Linked DNA regions of Drosophila melanogaster. The protein of the gene in region 2 interacts with the protein of the main gene of each other region in a pairwise test. Each region holds a gene or a part of one and is shown on either strand. Other genes may lie near its edges.

Region 1 (2,984 bases), on a different chromosome or scaffold from region 2:
CACGGCTCAAGAGCTGGCTTCGTCGTCTCTTCTCGGCCAGTTTGTTGGGGAACTTTCTGTGGATTTCTAGCTTTTCCTAGCCAGATATCGGGGCTCCACGTTGAGCTCGTTTCGGCTCGAGCAGGTTGCTCACCGCAGCGTATCGTATCGCCTCCATTCGCCGGTTGACCTTCGTTGGGGGTGGCAGATGCAGATGCTCCCAACTGAGGCCCAAAATCAATGGTTGCATTTGGGTGCGTGCGGGAACGCAAGCGGGTTAATGGGATAACGGGCCAACGACTGACCAATGGTTATTGGATATGGATTTTATAATATTATCTATACCTTCAAGTAAACAGAACAAACCAAATTTTAACGATAAAACATAACTTCAGAGTCTATGCCTTTATGCACATTGGCAAATATGTTATTGTAATATATATAGCCCTTTGTTTGATTATACAATTTAAGATGTTCGTCTAAGAATCTATTAGTGAAACTAAGGGTTTCATAGGTGACTAAATTCTTGAGTCACTGAAGCTTAACCTGTCGACTTTGTAGCTTAAAGTGCAATAGTACTTCTATATAGTATTGTACAATCTGCCGCAGTGAATATTCTAGCTGCCCCACTTTGAAACCCATCTTGTGTGTGGAATAATAATAATGACCCACCGCTAAATCTTAACCCGAATGCGCTGAAAAGTATGTCACAATGCAAAACACACAATACGTATTTCTTTTCGGTATTTTCCATTGCGTTCAAGCTGCTTTTATTCACTGATTCTCAGAGTTTCGCCATGACAGCCACTCGAGGATTTTAGCAAGGAGTCGATAGTTCAATTCACTGCCGATGAAGCGAGAATTAGTAAGCACGTTGGCCGTAGCCGTGTCCGATCTCGTAGCCGCGAGCGCCATCCAACTCGTAGGAGGGAATGGCGTACTGCTTGTAGGTTCCGGGATTCACGGCAGCGGCGGAAGCGGCGGCAGCGGCAGCGGCACTTCCTCCATTACCCTCCGATCGCAGGCTGCGGGGATAGCTGTTGTAGCCACGGGATGGTCCGTAGGCGGGCACCTCCTCGTAGACGACGCGCTGAACAGGACCGTAGCCACCACCGTAGCCACCACCATAACCTCCACGGTTGCCGTACGCTGGGCTGGCGTTGATGTAGGCGAAAAGGGCCAGGGTAACGCAGACAATCTGAAGGTGAAAAGGGGAAATCCGGAGGATCAGTTGGCTGCCACTCCTTCACGGGGACTACCACAACTTACCAGGTACTTCATGGTGAGTGCTTAGTTTTGTTGGTTTGGGGTAATCAATCAAACTATGATTTACCGACCAGAAACGCTCGCTTTTATACGCAAATTTTAGCCTGGACATTTACGTGACCTATATACACTAATTGTTCTGTTTCAGCCCAGAAATGGCATTTCATAATTGCCCGGCTGGAATATACTCACATTTGATTTATGTACTTGTTGTCAAGCCATTATAAAATCGCTTGGTTACGCGATGTGCTATTCTACCGGGTGTTGGGTAGTGATAGCACTACGAACACGCGACTCTTCCAAATGGGAACCACGAACGCGTTTATTTTCGAATACAGTCCAAAATTTGTTGAATTGAACTTTATATTATCCACATTCTCGGGGGTAATGGTTTCCAGGTCGGTTGTGTCCGGAACTTGGCTTGTCTAAGTGAGGATTCTTCTAGAACTGGTTCCAGCCGGTTTTTCTGATAAAACCTATATAGAATCATCCCTTTAAAGTGACCACTAGTCACATACAAAACTTAAAATTATAACTAAAACATTTTAAAGTATTTCAATCATTTTGAAATTTTACAAAAACATAATTTCAAGCAAAACTATATTCTATCTAATCTCATTTTATCTAATAGGTTCTTTACTTATGGTAACTTAAAAAAGTCAAGGCTTATTTGACGAACTATAGTTTTAAAGTGGCCCCACAAATGAATTTAGTTTTAGCTTTTCAGCTTCATTCGCCATGAGAATTATTCTTTAGCACTTTAAGCAGCATTTTCATTTAACTACGAAACCACGAAATTTTTGCTGGCTCAAAGTATCGCTTGGCATTGCAATGAACCGCAAGTCTATGCCAATTCAGCTAAGATATGCAGATCTCAATTCTCGGCCCGAAACTAAAAACCCAGCAAGAATACAGTACTCAAAATTTTAAGTCTTGATGTTTTGGCTTTTATTATTATGACCTAGTTCCTTATGGGCAGGTAAGTTTTTGGTTCACTGTTCAACGTTTTGCCACTTAGTAGCTGGGCCTCTTGTAGCCCTTCTTTCCGGCGGCCACGGAGCTGGCAGCAGCGGCTGCGGAGCCTCCCTTCACCTTCTCGCTGTGTCCGTACTCCTGGTTCACGTAGCTGGTGGGGGGATAGACGGGCTGGGCGTAGCGGGGAGCCTCCTTCCAGACCAGAGGAGCTCCAGCGCTGGGAGCGGCCAGGGCGAGCTTGGCGAGGGCAATGGCCTGGGCATCAACTGGTGGGGCACCGCCGTAGCCGGAACCGGAGTACTGAGATCCCACATTGGCACCGCTGTAGGCAGAGGACACGGGCACAGGCACCGACTCGTAGGCACCGCCATATCCTCCATGGTTTCCGCCGTATCCACCACCGTATGAGGGAACGATCGCCTTAACGGTCAGGGCAGGCTGCACCTGGTAGGCATAGCCACCGACTGGGGCACCACCGTATCCACCACGGGAACGTCCGTAGGAGTTGGCCGAAACGGCAGAGATGGCGCAGAGGCAGATGCACTAAGGGATTCAAGAAAAAATTCAATTAATTTGGGTTTAGACTGAAGTGTATTAGAAAAGAAAGATCCAATCATATTATCCAATTATTATAATATGTAGTTATATTTTATTGAAAGGATCATACTGGACTCAGTTGAGGTGTCAATAGAAACAATATTGGAACTTAAGGCTTACCATGAACTTCATCATTCTGAGGCTGAGTTGGTTAGTTGATCGATGCG
Region 2 (6,933 bases):
TCCGCCCAGTTTGAGCAGACACTGCTGGTCAACGAAACCGGATGCGAGATTCTCACCAAGCGTCGCGAGAACAACGGACAGCCGTGGTTCATGGACAAGATGTGAGGGTCGACCAACTTGGGCTAATACATAACTTCTAGGGCTATCGATCAAGCTTTAATTTGTAATTTTACAATAAAATCTAGAGTTTTTATTCCCAAGTCCAGTTTGGATGGTTTCCATTGTGCCGTTCACTTCTCCAGAGGAGCATAGTTGAGCAGTTTTTCGATAAGATCCACGTGGCCCAGGAGCATGCGACGGCAGCAGTACCTCTTTAGACCCAAAGCATCCAGGGCATCTCTGGGATTGGATTGTAAGATATAATATATATATATTATATGATGAAATGCGGCGTGGAAAGGAGACTTTCCCGCGTGACTTACCCTTCGGTGTATTCCGCTTGCAGGAGACCCAAATACGACTCCCACTTGTTGCCAATGACCTTGCCGCAGGTGAAACAACGGATTGGAATAATCATTTTGTAGATCAGGCTCTAATTCTTAGTTAAATCACGAAAAATGTGCAATCACAACAATGTTTTTGGTAAAATGTGTTTTTACTTGTCATGAGTGTGACCAGAGTGCAGTTGTATTTTTATCTCACCAGCATTACAATGTATCGATAACACAAAAACTTATATCCATTCAAAAAGAACGCTAACGAATATTTGAATAAATTAATGGTTATTTTTATTAACTACCGACTGCTCGCTACATGAATGCGTTTTTTACAAATGAGTGTGTAAATAAATATTTTTGAACAGCGTCGAAGACTAAAAGTGCGTTAACTAATTACTGCTGGCCGTGAGATGCTCGCCGGCCACTTCGACGGAGGTGGATACCTCGAACAAATCTTTGGCTGACTCCTCGCTGTCGCCGTCGTTCCGACCCGCACTGGACACATCCTCCACCGTGCCCTTTTTCACATCATCCGATCTCTTTTGCAGTCGCTATACAAGGAAAGTCTCAAATGTTAGCATACGGAAGAATTTCTTGTCTAATTTTACCTACCGATTCGGCGGCCTCCTCGTCGGGCACAAAGATGCGAAGTGGCGTGTTGGCGCCAAGTTGCTGCTGCACCAATCGCTGGTGCTCCTCGAATGCACTTGCTGCTGGATCCTGAGCCACCTGCTGCTGCTGCTGCTGTTGCAGCTGCTGCGGCGGATGGTGCTGCACTGGTTGCTGCAACTGCTGTTGCTGCTGCTGCAATTGCAAGAGCTGCAACTGATGCTGCTGGTGTTGCTGCTGCAAGTGTTGCTCCTGTGCCTGTGCCTGCAGTTCCTCGAACTGCTGCTGTTGCTGCTGCTGGTACTGCGCCTGAGCCCTCAGCTCCTCCAGATGCAGCTGATGCTGCTGCTGTTGCTCCTGGGCCTGCGCCTTAAGCTCCTCCAGATGCAACTGCTGCTGCTTTTGCAGCTCAATGGCGGCTTGCTCTGTTTCCAGTTGCTGTCGACGTGCCTCCTCCTCTGCGTAGGCCTGCAGCAATTGGGAAGAGTCGTGGGCATGGCCATAGAAGTTGGACACCACGAAGCCACCTTCCGGAACGGAGGCAGTGACCGCTGACGCCACATTGGGCAGGTGGAAGGAGGCCGTCTCGTAGGCACCCTCATTGGGATCACCCAGTGCCGGAGCGGCAATAAGAGCAGCATATTGTGGCGCCGAATCAAGTACAGGATGGATGTTGTGATGTGGATCCTTGGCTGCCTGCAGTATCTGTCCATTGCTGGCTACCTCCTGGGTGAGATCGGCGTTCACGTAACCCGTTTCCACCACCGGTTCCGAGCTGGGCTTGAAAAGCTGCTGCTTGTGGGCCGAGTACAGTTGGTTGGACTGCGTCACCAGGTAGGTGGGATTATAGATGGGAATGTGGGCAGCCGGAATGGCGGCGATAAAGGACTGGGAGTGAACCGCCGGCTGGGCATACTGAATGGGATAGATCTCTGGCGCCGTTTGGGCTGCCGTCTGGGCTCCCACAATCTGAACCAATGGCTGGGCTGGCAGATGGTTACTCTGGACGTCGGCGGGCAGCGGTTTGTTGTTGCTGGGCGTATTGAAAGATTCGGTGGCGGGGCGAATCTTGGTGGTGGGCAGCGAGGGATCCGGATCTGGGGCAAAGAGTTTCTGCGAACCCGAAATGGGATCACGAATGGTTTGGTCATTGGTCTCGTCCTCATGCACACTGTACTTCGGTGGCAAATATGTCTGGGGACGGGCTGAGGAGGATGGTGTTTGGATCTGGGTCTGGGAAGGAGGCTTGTACAGGTAGGAGGTGTCAAGATGACCCTCCTCCACGTCCAGGTGATTGTCGGCCAGGTTCGGTGCGGGTACCGTGTAAATGGGTGCAAAGTGCTCGGTGTTGAAGTTGTTGTGCGTGTCCAGCTGTGGGGGATCAGCATGAATGGAGTTATGTTATATGTTCAGGGGAGTGGGGGGCATGTGCAGTATAAGGATATCTTAAGAGCAGGACATTTTCAATGGACTCCACTTACCGGCAGATTCTGCAGCTCGCTGTAGCTCACAGCAGTGGGCTTCTCGTACTTAAAGGGCTTGTCGTATCCGAATGTGGGTTTCGTCTTGGGCTTCACATTGTTCAGTTTGATCTTCAGTGGTTTCCTTAGAGATCCAGCTGGTTTCAGGTACACGGGCGACGGACCACTCAGCTTCATGGGACGAGGTGGTCCGCGTAGGTGCTGATGCTGGTACTGATGTGGCACATGGATCAGCGGATGCGAGTGTAGATGGGCATGTGAATGGGCGTGCGACAGGACATGTGCAGGATGCACGGAATGCGGATGGGCCAGATGGGCGGCATGGCTGTGCGCTCCATGTCCAGGACGACCCTTCAGTACCAAGGGCACCGGTTGATCGCTGCGTATTTGGACGACCAGCGTGCGCTGCTTTCCAGGCGCTCCAGCGGATCCAGGACCTCCAGCTCCAATGGCGGGACGACTCAGCTGCTTGGAGCTCTTCGGTGGCCAGTTGGTGAAAACCAGTGGACGCTGCTCGCAGTTAGCCAGCGCCAGGAGCAGTGCGAACAGCAGAAATGGCTGGCGAGGATGGGATGGGACAATGTCAAAGACCATTAAATCAAAAACATAATTACTCGTACATACAGACATCGAACAAAACGCCGAAAGAAATAAAAACTTTCTAAGCCCGGCAAAGGCGAAGAAGAAAAAAAGGGGCGGTGAGGAAGGAGGAGGGTCTTGTAATCGCTGGACAGCAACAAAACTGTAATGGCCTTAATTTGAACAAATTGGCGGTTTTCTAAAATTTTATCACGTCGCCTGCCATTGGCTACTTAACCAAAGCTGCTTAAGCAAACGAGCCAAACAAAGTAGCTTCGCATTTATAAATATACATACATATATATTTATACGGGTATGCCATAATACTTTGCCCATTTTCCCCGCTTCGATGGCTGATTAAACTTTCTGTCCACAATGCCATAGAATGAAAGTGAAAAGTCCGTCATCGAAATGTCTTCGTTCTATAAATTTTACTGTCGCATTGTTTACAATTCGGCGGGTATAATGCATCACTGACTCATTTGGTGACACTTTCATTGAAATTGGCTTTAGAAACTTACAGCCTACCTTATACGTTATATACGAGTATTTTGGATTTTTCATGCATTTTATATAGGTTAAAGGGAATGGCTCTATTAGTTTAGGTATAACACAATAACGAAGAAAGAAATACATATCATGCATCTAATAAATTTATTAAGGCGTAAAATGTCAGATTTTTATAGAAACATATATAGGAACCATTAAAATGAAATGCATGTTATTCCTTGAAAAGAATGAGTATGTGCCTCTTCAGCGCGGCTGGCATGGGTCTCTTTAGTCTCGTCGATGGAAGGGGAAGTGGGTAATTTGAGGCGGCCACTGGACATTGAAATTTCACCTGGGCAGCGCACCAGCAGAGCCACTGGAGCCACCGGAGCGGCGGCAATGACAATGGCAATACGGTGTGCCGTTAGCCAGACGTCAATCAAGAGGTGAAATGCCTAGGCGAGTCCAATACGTATAGTTATTGATTACGTGCTGCGTTTGCTTAAACGGATTGCCGATTGCAACTGAAACTGACTGCAGCGGCGGTGATCGGGGTAATTGCCACAAAATTGGTGGCTTATTGTTTATGGAGTGGTTAGTTAGTAAGTTAGTTAGTTTGTCGCCATTGCAACATGCATCATAATCATATGCAAATACCAGGGGCGGCCTGCTGGTGAATGAACTGCTGCCAGGAGACGGGTGCCCGATGCCAAACACTGAAAAGTCTGGCAGGGAATGGCCCACGGCGACGGCGGATAACCCGTTCAACGAAAGTCCAAATGGAATTCGCATAATTTCGGGTTTCCTTTTGGGCTTGGCCGGCAGTGCCATTGAACCTGACAAAGGATTTTTGCCAACGGCCTAGGCGGAACTATTGATCAGCGGGCTGTCGCCACAGCGTCGACCATAAACAACGGTGTGGTTAACCCAAATTGCAACTCGAAATGCAACTTTTATTTTAGCGGCAAGCATTTTATTTTCAAGCCCGCTGCACATTGAGGCAGCCGCCTGTGCCTCACAGTTTGCAGCTTGCAACTCACAGTGTGCGATGCAATTGGTGCACGTAAAGCCATCCATTGTCTGGATCTTGGCGAAACTTGGCGCATCAAGTGCTCCCATTGCAAATGAAAGTGCTCGCTTTGCCGGCCACCTTGCAATTTGACAAATATTCCGACGACTTCAATTCAATTGAAGAAGCTACAGCTTCATTGTGCAGCGATTGCAATTTGCTGGCTTTGCTGGCGAAGGTGAAGGTGATACCAAATTTGAATGCCAATCTCAGTCTGAAGTCGTTGATCGCCGATGAGAAGAAGAAATGCCATTGAATTTGCAATAGAAATTAAAGCCAATCCATTATTGTGTTATGCTGTGCGCAGTGAGAGACTTTTTAATAACCGCTAATTGTGGCCAACAAACTCACAATACCCGCGTGAATCACTTACCCTCATCTTCTTTCGGATTTGCTAGAGATTTTCGTTGTTTTATTGTCGGGTAGCTGGCTGATGGATCTGGTAGACTGTAGAAAGCTCTGGGGCAAATGTCGAGCAACTTTTGGCTTCTTCTGCTACTCCAGCAGCAAATAGATGAAGATCAAAATGGCAATTAGGTATATAATCACGTCAATTAACTTCATGTCAACGAGCGCCGCGGCGCTTTCTTCGATCTTAAACTGCACGCACAAAAGATTTGTAAAGAGTTTCGAATATAAATTCGAGGAGCAGCGACGTCCGCACCTGTTCAAGTCGCGAAGACAACTGACTGTTAGTTGGTCGCTGGTGGCGGACAAAAACCATGTGCCCATCCGCTGGAGTTCCACTGGAATGGAGTGACGACTCGCATTGGAAGTGCGCACTGAAGAAAGTGGTCGGATTTTCTTGACTCTGGCGCCGAATGAAATACAAAAAAAAAAAAATAAAATAAATAAAAAGCCAACAAATAAAACTAGTTTGCAGTGGATAAAGCGCAGCACGCGACCAGCAGCTACATGAATTGCCAGCAAGTGGCCGATTAATCGCAACGAAAGTGTTTTCCCATTGACTGTTCTTGGCCGGCGAAAGAAAGGAGCGAAAGAGACGGCGCCAAACAAAAGACTTAAGCAGCGAACTTGTTGTCGTCGCAAGTCAGCACTCGCTCTTTACCTTAAAAAGCAATGCGGACCAGGCGCACATGATCAAGAGATGGCCCCCCAATGCCGCCGTCTGTCACCTGTTGGCCCCACTTTTTAAGTCTTTTTTTTTGCTGGGGCAGCAAACAGGAGCAGAGCCACCGATTGAAATTACGAAATGCGGCAGGCACAGTGGGGAAAATAGCAAACATTTTAAAGCGGAACCAAACAATATTTTGGGAATAATAAGATATTATTATAACATTTTCATACTTTTTAAGATGTTGCCAATATTTTTCCAATAATTTTAAACTCATATTTAACTGCATTAAATATCTGGCTAAACTCGTCGAAGACTCAAAGGAATGCGTGAAAGCTTTTTCGAATTAGTTTTTGTACGGAAGTCAGCTCAATTGGGGGCTAAGGGTTTCGTAGAAAAGCTTGAGCTGTATTTTAAGCGATATTTGATGGTAATGTAACTTAATTCAGATGTGTCCCAAAAACGAATGGATGCAATTTCCATAACCAATGGATTCCGTATGATAGGCTTCACATTTCGGATGTACATATACCAAAGGCCCTTCGATGATAATGAGACATGCTTATGAAACGCTCCCCAATAATTGGTCGCATTTTATGCAAGGCGCGACATCCAATTTCTAAACGCAATTGGTCATTGGAATTTTATAACGCCCGGCCAGCCATTTTTTGGGTCAGTATTTGGCGGCCCAAAGTTTTGGGACATAAATCAAAATTTCACTTTCATAAAGCTCTCAGTTTGGTGGTAATTTCTTTGCTATTTTTTTCCGTATTTATATTTTATTTTGAAATATTATTTTTAACAAGGTTTTTTAAACATTAACAACATAATATTATTATTATACCTTTTATTTCATACATTTATCATTTCTTTTGGTTTTTTCTTTCGGTTGCGTTTTAGACAAATGTTTAAAATATGCATTTTTAGCTCTTCAATTTGTTATTTAAAATGTTGTTTATTTTTTGTTGTTTTTGCCTTTGCAGGACCATTTTAAACTAATTTGTCATTTTATGCTTTCTGCTCTGATTTCGGTTTAGTTTACTTTAATTTCAATGTAAATTAATGAATTTTTTTTATCGCTTTTTACGTTTTATTTATGTCTACTTTTACGTTTTCCGTTGTGTAAATATACCTCATATAAATAGCGAGTAAAAACTAAAAAAATGTAACTACATTAATATGATTTGCATTGTT
Region 3 (4,373 bases), on a different chromosome or scaffold from region 2:
GCCGCATCTCATCCTGCGCTCCATTCTCGACTGCACACTAGACGTGCGACGTGCCCTGGTCGAGAGTGTGTTCCTCGTGGGCGGCGGCTCAATGGTCCAGGGTCTGCTGGCCCGCCTCCGCCAGGAGCTGCAGCATCTGCTCACCGAGGATCCGTTCTACGCCGAACGCTTCCATGGCGAGCTGCAGTTCAAGTTTTTCAATGCTGTCGGCAAGCAAAACTTTACTGCCTGGCTGGGCGGCGCCTTGTGCGGCGCGACGGATCTCATCCAGACACGATCGCTGGTCAAGGAGACGTATCTAAAGAGCGAGCACGTTCCCGACTGGAGCAACCTGTGCGATAATAGGCCGACAGGCTCGTAGACTCGAGGGCAGTCCCGGAAGATGGAAATATGTACGCTTCGGCGCTTTACTGGTTACGCGTACTAACATACTCTTGATTATTATTCTGTAATATATAGGTATTAAATATTTACGAAATATAGGCTAACGAGCTTTAAACAAAATATTGCTTGTACGTTTTCTGGACATTTATTCTTGGTTCTAATGATGATGTCGGTTTATCAGCTTCATTTACAACTTTACTTTCTTCAAGCAATGTAACGTTGCGTCTCTCAGAGTTAAAAGAATCTCATTTGTACACGGAAAATCAATTTAACATTTATTAGCGGGGATGCGCACCCCAAACAAATGCTATGAAGACGGGTGATTCCTTTTTACATTTGAATCTTATTAACTAACTTGTTCATGAATGGAATATCGAAACATTACAATACGTTTTCGTACGTTTGTGTAGAATTTTGTTAGAAAGGCATTCGCTGAATGCACATGGTCCATACATATAATGCATGTTAACTAAACGAAAAAAAAAGACGTTGATCTGATGTATGCTATAATGGATGATTGGATGATTGGTGGTTTCCTTGCCACTCAGCGCATTTAAGAGCCCACGATGATATTGTTGATGGGGATGTGTATCAACTTAACGAAGAAGCCGATGAAGCCCATGATGCAGAAGCCCACAGCAGTGGCGATGGCGATCTTCTGGAACTCCTTGCGGTCGGGCTTGGTGCACCGCTTGACCAGGCGGATCGAGTCCTTGGCGAAGGCGCGTCCAGGCTCGGCAAACTTAACAACCTTGTCCATGTCTTGTCAGATATTTGGGATTCTGCAACGAAAGCGAAGGAAAGTGCTAATCAGTAAAAGGTATTCAGCGCTTTCACAGCAACGTCAGCTGCGACGTGGCAAATGGTTGGCGACGGCACAGGTGAAATCGCGTTGCCCATTTCCACAAATTCGCCCAACAAGTTATCCAGCTATCACAGCTCCAACAGGGGTCAGTGGCTGAAGATCACCATTAATGTCTGTGCCACCACCAACCCAATCGCTTCGATTCACCAAATCAGCAGGATTTGGTAAAGAAACGGGAAAAAGTGCAAGGTCCACAGGCAAAGAACGGCGCGCAGGGCAAATAAACCTCTGCTGCGTGTGCTTGATAGCCATTCAAACCATTTTAATTGAAAAACTGTGCGAGCGCAGCTGAAAATCAAATAAGCAAACACACATACCTCCGCTTTAATTCAGAATTTCCAACTAAATGAGATACAATCGTCGACTGCCGCGTAGACCCCGTTATTCGTATGTGTTTGCCGATGACAGCTCCACGTCGGCTGTCAAACGCCAGGGCTACGCTACACTGGGGCCGAGCTGTCAGTGGTGGCAGGGATGCCAGCTTGGCTATTTTGCAGCTGGATGCTATGAAAGCTTTGGAATGCTCCAAACGTTAGCTAATTTGTAGCCTAATTTTATTATATTCAAAGTTGAATTTTTGTTCACATTCCTTAACTATTTTTACTCGTTGGGGAGTAACCATATTATATCGTTAACTAGTTGAAAAAATGTGAGTTCACAATGCTTTAATGCTTCACACCAATCTTTACATAAGTAAGGTAACTGGATGAATTTCAAACAAAGAACTACAGATTTAATCGAACTAATAGAGCGCGTTATATTATTTCATTTTTAATCAAATATAATATTTACAACAACATATTATATTAACAACATTATATTTATATTGAAGCAAAACCTAATTCCAATTAGAAATAGAGATAATAATAAGAACAAGACAGGACTTGCACTATTGCATTTTTGTGGTATATAATCGGTATTTTGCACATCCAAGCGCACGCACAACGGTGTTTGCGCCCAGGCGACCTGGCATTTAGCATCGTGGGCGGCGCGGACACACTGGTCCTCGCACAAAACTCGCACTCGAACTTGCTCTCCGCGCGCTCTGAGCGCATCCATAGCCGGAGCAGGAGCGGAGCACACGATGTCCTCGAACCAGGAGCAGTCACCCGCCGCAGTGGCCGCGGCCGTGGCCAGCTGCAGGCTAAGGAAACAGCAGCGCCGTCGACTGGCGGCCTTCGACTTCGACCACACGATCGTTTCCCAGAACACGGACACCGTGGTGCGCGACCTGCTGCCCACGGAGGTGACGAGCGCCAAGGTCAACGAGCTGGTTGAAAACGACTGCTGGACGGAGTACATGGCCGAGGTGTTTCGCTTGCTGCACGAGCAACAGGTGTCGGAGGCGCGCATTAGGGACACCATTCGTGGCATACCCGAGGTGCCCGGATTCGTGCGCCTGATCAAGCATCTGGCCAAGCGGCTGCACTACGACCTGATCATCATCAGTGACTCGAACAGCGTCTTTATCGACGAGTGGCTGCGGGCACATAACTTGGCCGATTGCTTTGTGGCCATCTTTACCAATCCGGCGGAATTCGATGCCTCCGGACGGCTTATGGTCCGCGCCCACCACCAGCAGTCGGATTGCAAGCTGAGCGCCAGCAATTTGTGCAAGGGCCGCGTGCTGGAGCACTTTGTCATCGAGCAGGACCTGCGGCGCAGCATACGCTATGACCACGTCTTCTATGTGGGCGACGGCAACAACGACATCTGCCCCGTGCTGCGGCAGCGGGCGTGCGACTTTGCCTGCGCCCGCAAGGGGTTCGCAATGGAGAAGCACCTGCTCCGCAATCGCAGCAAATTGAAGCTGCGCGCCCAGCTGCTGATCTGGAAGAGCGGCTTCGATCTGATGGACCAGATGCTGGCCCTGCCGCAGCTGAAGACCCCCCAGGTGCAGGGCGATGGGGATCAGCCGGATCAGGATGCGGATACGGATGGCAAAGTACCGGAGGTGGCACGTCGGGCATCGGCAGTTGCCGGGCCGACCAAGTCGCCCAACTAAGGTGGCATGTGCTCGCATTTGGCACCGGCACGAGTAAGTAGAACGGGTAATCCTCGAGAGTGACGATTGCCCAGCTGCAGGATGGCCATCGCATAGGAAACTGCTACTTTGGAGCACGATATGGTATTTCATGGTATCGAAAGATACCGTTCCTTGTTCCTTGTTTTGGACTATGCTGTGCGATAGCAATCATGCGGTTCTACGATGCCAGGAGTACTCGTGAGGGTCTCAAATGCGAAACCATCCATCCCGATCCCATCATCCCCATCCAGTTGTTGGTTGCATCATGTGGTCTGGTCTGGTTCTTTATTTGATCCGCTCGCCACTTCGCTGCACTGGCCGTGCCAAGTGTACTGGGTGGATCTGTATTTATATCTGTGTGCCGGGACTTTACCTGCAAAACAATTTGTGGAAATCCAAACAGTACAACTTCGGAGGTGTGCCCAGGACTTGAGGCGTCAATTTGTGCTGCGGCTGTTAGTGTTTATTCCATGTGTCTATATTTAAACCTGTTGTAATTGAAGCTATTGCAAGCGCTGTATATGAGTGTCCATATTATATGCATTTGAATGTGTGTTTTGCCGTTACTGCACCCGCTGCACTACCTTTTTTTCCTGGGTTGGGCTGGGCTGGTCTGGAGCACTGGGTGCTCTTGGTGCACACCACGCGACCTAGAGCGGGACAGCAGCATGCCAGCTGCGTGGCCAGGAGCGGGACGGGGATAGCAGCAGATGCGCTTTCTGCGCAATTTTCTCGACTTTTGTTTACACACCTCGCAGGATGAGCCATTTGCATTCAGTAGAGTGATTGATTGTGATGGTCAGAACTTACATATGTATATAGAACCTATAAGATTCGTTCGGGGACACCCCCTACTATCAAATATACACAGCAAATAGCAAATATAGCAAATCCGGACAGTAGCCCAAAAGTATGCAGCGAAAAGATGATTATGAACTTTTGCGGGATTGTTAATATCCTCTGTTAGAATATTGATATTAAAAAAAAAAACAAACACGCATAAATATTTATATCGTATCGTCTGCTCGAGGTTCTTTATTGGGTGTCAGTGACAATCTTAGTATTAACATTAATTTATTTGTAATTTATGTAGGTATA
Region 4 (4,110 bases), on a different chromosome or scaffold from region 2:
TAGATCGTGTCATACAGAAAATTGAAATGAATAAGCTCCACAAATGTAAAACCTTAGAAAATGAAAGACTTGAGCTGGTGCGTAAAATTTGTGAAAATACAAATTGGAAATACCAAAAACAATTTGGATTCGCCTTGATCAACGGTTAAATAAGCGCTGTTTGAAAACATTCATATTGCATAAATCATATATATTTGCATACGAAAATTTATGAATCTAATTTGTGTATATATCTATGCTTATCAAAATTGGCAAGCATAAACCAGAATTAAGCTGGCGAAATGCGTAAGATGAAATCTTATTCAATGTTATCGACAACAAGAAAGTATATAAAAAAATGAATGCAAATGAAGAAAACTTTTTAAATACAAATAATAAAATGCGTCAAGCCGAATTATAAATGATCGTTTTTGAAAAGTAGCAAACTCGCTACTTTATACTATGTATAAAGTATATATATTCTTGATCAATAGGATCAATAGCCAAGTCGATCTGGTTATGTCCGTATGAAAGTCGAGATTTCAGGAACTATAAAAGCTTTTTTTCATAATTTTATTAGTCTTGTAAATTTTTATCTCTTGTTTCATTAATTCTTTTAACAAAATCGAAGGGGGGAAATTGCTACTTTATAGCCCAAAAGTATGCAATAGTTATTTCAACTATAATACTAAGACCATAATATTCTTTAGTTTTTTGTTAATAATTTATTTAATCATCATGTAGTCAACAGGAAACGGGGAGTACATCAATAAATAATGGGATACCTAGAAAACATTCTAGCCTAGACTAATCCTAAAAAACAACGTATGGAACTTTAGTAGTCCGCATATCCCCTTCCTTGGTTGCCATATCCGAAGTCCTTCAGATAATTATCGATGGCCAGATCGAACGTGGACGATGGCTTATCGGGTCCAGAATCGGGACCACCATATGGCTTGATCTCCGGTTGGGGTACGGGATAGGCTTCCGTACGCGGTTGATAGGACTCAGTTTGGCTGGGATATGACTCTGTGATGCTGGGGTAGGAGTCCTTTTGGCTGGGATAGGATTCCGTGGGACTTGGATATATGGGTGTGTGGCTGGGATACGACTCCGTTTGGCTCTGCACAACGGGATAGACTTCCGTCTGGGGCGCCGAGTATTCCTTGGGTGCTTCAACAATAGGATACGATGTGGATCTCTCATAAATGGGAGACGGTGTGGCCACCACAATCTTCTCCTCGTAGGGAGTCTTTATCTTGGCCACCGACACGCCCGATGATGATGATGAAACCGCTGAGGCGGCATACTTAATGCTGGAGGAGATTTTGGGTGCCGGCGCCACTTTGCTCACGAGTGGAACCACTTGCTTTTTGTAGCTTGGAACCGGGGAATAGAAAACGGAGGGAGCTGGCTGAAGCTGAATACGTGGCGGAGTTGGCACACTAGCTGGGTAGCCCTTCTTGGTGCCATACGCAGTGCTAAGCAATTGGGCCAACTCCTCCAGCGTGTAATTAGGAGCAGCTATGCTGGCCACCGCTGGTGAGGAAGCCACCGAGGGAATGGAAGCCGGTGAAGCAGCTGATGCCGCCTGTTCGTAGACCAATGGATATGGCTTATAGGCCTTGGGTCCGCCCACTGGTCCTACCAATCCCCCATAGGATTCGCCTCCGTACTTGGGAAAGTATTTGCGCTGATGGACATGCGTGTACTCCACCTGGCCACCTGGGGCATACTCCCCAATGGATGAGATCTGGGTGAGCGGCTGCTTGGGCTCAGAAGAGATCACCTTGCGGCAGAACTCCTTGCAGCCCAGCTTGCATTCGCAGTAGCACTTCTTGTACTCCGATGGCTGTGTAGTGTAATCCGTGGGCGTGGGTGGGGCACTGGTTGTTGTTGGGTAAATAGGTCCCGGGCTGGTGGCGCTGGTTGTGGGCGGGCTCAACGTAGAGCCTCCGGTTGTTGTTGGCGCTACCGTTGTGGGCACCTCGCTGCACGGCACCTGTTCCCACACCTCCTGTTCACATTCCGCACAATATTCCGGGAAATGGGCTTGGGTCAATAGTGCCGATGCCATCAGCATGGTCATAAATAATAAATTGCAGCGTTCGAACATCTGAAGGGGGGAGAATATTGAATTTAGAATGGGTCAGAGAATTGCGCCGGAATCGTTCCCAATCGATTGACCCCGTTACCCTACCTTTCAACTGAATTTCTCCCTCGCTCGCTCGATCACTTTCCCCACAATTGCTGGAATTTCTGTCCCGGATCGCCGATGGATGGCACTTGTTGGCTGTTGGTCGGTCGCGTGCGAAACTCTTTCATGCATTTTGCTGAATAGCTCTTAAATACGCTGCGCTGGCCGAGAGCTTCTTCTTCTCGTTCTTACAACGCCGAGCAAATGGGTCGCGGAAGCGTTGACCGCATCACGTTCCAAACGCCCCAAACGGCTCGGAATGGGGCGTGGTTGTCCGGAATGGGTCCGGAATGGGTAAAGACAATCGCCAGATGCCGCCGCTTCCGTAATACACATTCAAGCATTTCTGCCCGCACTCGTCGATAGCTTGGAGTGCTCGCGACAAGAGTTGTTTAATCAAAAACATATAGCAAACATATTTATGTATGACCTTTGGCATGACAATAACCTTTAAGAGAAAGACGAACTTCATAATGCATTTTTTTTAGGCAGTTTCTCATTAGCCAGAATAAACAATCCTCCTGAAATCTTTAATTTTATAAATAGCCAAAACCATTCCGACCGCAATGATCATTTTTTCGGTTCTGCACAAAATTTCCAGCTGCTTGGGGGATTTATAATTTCTGGGTCTCGGCCTAGATCTGATATTAACGTCTGGGGTCGATTGACTTATCAATTTTTGGTTGTAATTCTTTGTGGAACTCAAGGTCTACACGTACACTATGGATAATGGTATTTTTGTAAGCGATATTGCTCAATACCTAAATTATCTTCCTACAAATTGAGTACAAAAGCTTTACTGATTTAAATAATAGTATCTTGACCATTTAACATTTTGTCTAGCTCATTATTTAAACAACATTTTGGGAAAACTCTGCTTAAAATTGGGGGCACTCTTAATCTTTTTTGTTTTAACAAAAATAAGCAACATCACTATTTTCATTATTGCGAGTAAAAGTCATAACAATTTTAGCCTTACAAAGAAAAATAGCAAAAAACTCCGATTTATTTAAAGTAGTCCTTTAAAAAAGTACTTTATTTTTTTTACTTTTATACTTTTAGTATTTATTCATTGTCCGAATCACCAGAGATCACTTAAAATCAAAGCCATTTGCACATTTGGATGAGGTGACTTATTTATGATTAATTTAGATTTGCTACACGACTTTGGAAGGGTAAGCCGGGGTAAACCTGAATATCAGGGAAGAAACTTTGATCATCCCGCACATCAGTTTCCATGGTTTCCTTGTGGTCACGTCTTTTTTCGATGGAGCTGCGCTTCCTTAGTTTCTCCCAGCGATTTTGTTTTAGTTGTGTCTTCGGTTTAACTGGCACTTGAATTTGAGATGGTTTTTTAGATTGACCCGGATCGGAAGTCTCGCGAACCGTTTCCGTGCGACTTGCCATTTCCACATCAATGGTGTCAGCTTTACTACGACCACTGGTAAGTCGCCTCAGCATCTCCTGATAATGCGGTTGATCCGCAGTTATGTATTCCGGTTCGTCTTCGGGATTGAGAATCTGGTAGTTGGGGGTGCCCAGTTCGAAGGTGGTGAATTCACCATGCTCCACTTTGTTCTTCAGATGCTGCGGCGTATACCCATACTGCTTAAGTGGAGCCATCCACTTGGCATCCGCATCCGCAACTGTATCCTTTGAGCTTCCCCCCAGGCAGAAGCCAAGGGTCAATAGCAATGTGACCAGTAGTTGTCGTGTCTCCGGGCAGCCGACCATTTTCGCACTGATGCTCCATGGATGCATTGGTCAGAGCGTTAGCCAAATCCAATAGAATCGCCATCGACGACGTCGACTGCGCCGGTAATTGGACGCCCCCAAAGTGGCAGCAGCTACGTGAGATTAGAGGCATCTATGGGCCATGTCGCGTCTGGCGGCGATAGCATTAGTTTATGCTTATCACAGTATCGAAGCCACCT

Evidence for each region.
Region 1: the proteins of CG13627 (region 2) and Cp15 interact in a two-hybrid assay, tested with the Drosophila melanogaster proteins (one large-scale study listed by BioGRID).
Region 3: the proteins of CG13627 (region 2) and CG12237 interact in a two-hybrid assay, tested with the Drosophila melanogaster proteins (one large-scale study listed by BioGRID).
Region 4: the proteins of CG13627 (region 2) and CG13114 interact in a two-hybrid assay, tested with the Drosophila melanogaster proteins (one large-scale study listed by BioGRID).

Annotation. Positions count from the first base shown.
Region 1 is NT_037436.4:8,726,803-8,729,786, reverse strand, and holds Cp15 (chorion protein 15), read right to left. Parts: upstream 1,307-2,984; 5' UTR 1,261-1,306; coding exon 1,249-1,260; intron 1,178-1,248; coding exon 842-1,177; 3' UTR 721-841; downstream 1-720. Other genes in the region: Cp18 (chorion protein 18), read right to left, coding at 2,260-2,763, 2,938-2,952. UniProt on the Drosophila melanogaster protein: Chorion membrane (egg shell) protein; plays a role in protecting the egg from the environment.
Region 2 is NT_033777.3:24,711,202-24,718,134, reverse strand, and holds CG13627 (uncharacterized protein), read right to left. Parts: upstream 5,356-6,933; 5' UTR 5,229-5,355; coding exon of another isoform or gene 5,160-5,228; 5' UTR 5,044-5,159; coding exon 5,038-5,043; intron 3,352-5,037; exon of another isoform or gene 3,158-3,351; coding exon of another isoform or gene 3,152-3,157; intron 3,086-3,151; coding exon 2,528-3,085; intron 2,418-2,527; coding exon 1,050-2,417; intron 989-1,049; coding exon 827-988; 3' UTR 705-826; downstream 1-704. Other genes in the region: CG13630 (uncharacterized protein), read left to right, coding at 1-105; Polr2L (RNA polymerase II, I and III subunit L), read right to left, coding at 231-339, 423-517; CG46316 (uncharacterized protein), read right to left, coding at 5,160-5,228.
Region 3 is NC_004354.4:19,640,658-19,645,030, reverse strand, and holds CG12237 (uncharacterized protein), read left to right. Parts: upstream 1-2,161; 5' UTR 2,162-2,333; coding exon 2,334-3,254; 3' UTR 3,255-3,840; downstream 3,841-4,373. Other genes in the region: Arp10 (Actin-related protein 10), read left to right, coding at 1-361; Sec61gamma (Sec61 gamma subunit), read right to left, coding at 938-1,144.
Region 4 is NT_033779.5:9,544,002-9,548,111, reverse strand, and holds CG13114 (uncharacterized protein), read right to left. Parts: upstream 2,302-4,110; 5' UTR 2,180-2,301; intron 2,096-2,179; coding exon 815-2,095; 3' UTR 688-814; downstream 1-687. Other genes in the region: CG13113 (uncharacterized protein), read right to left, coding at 3,320-3,937.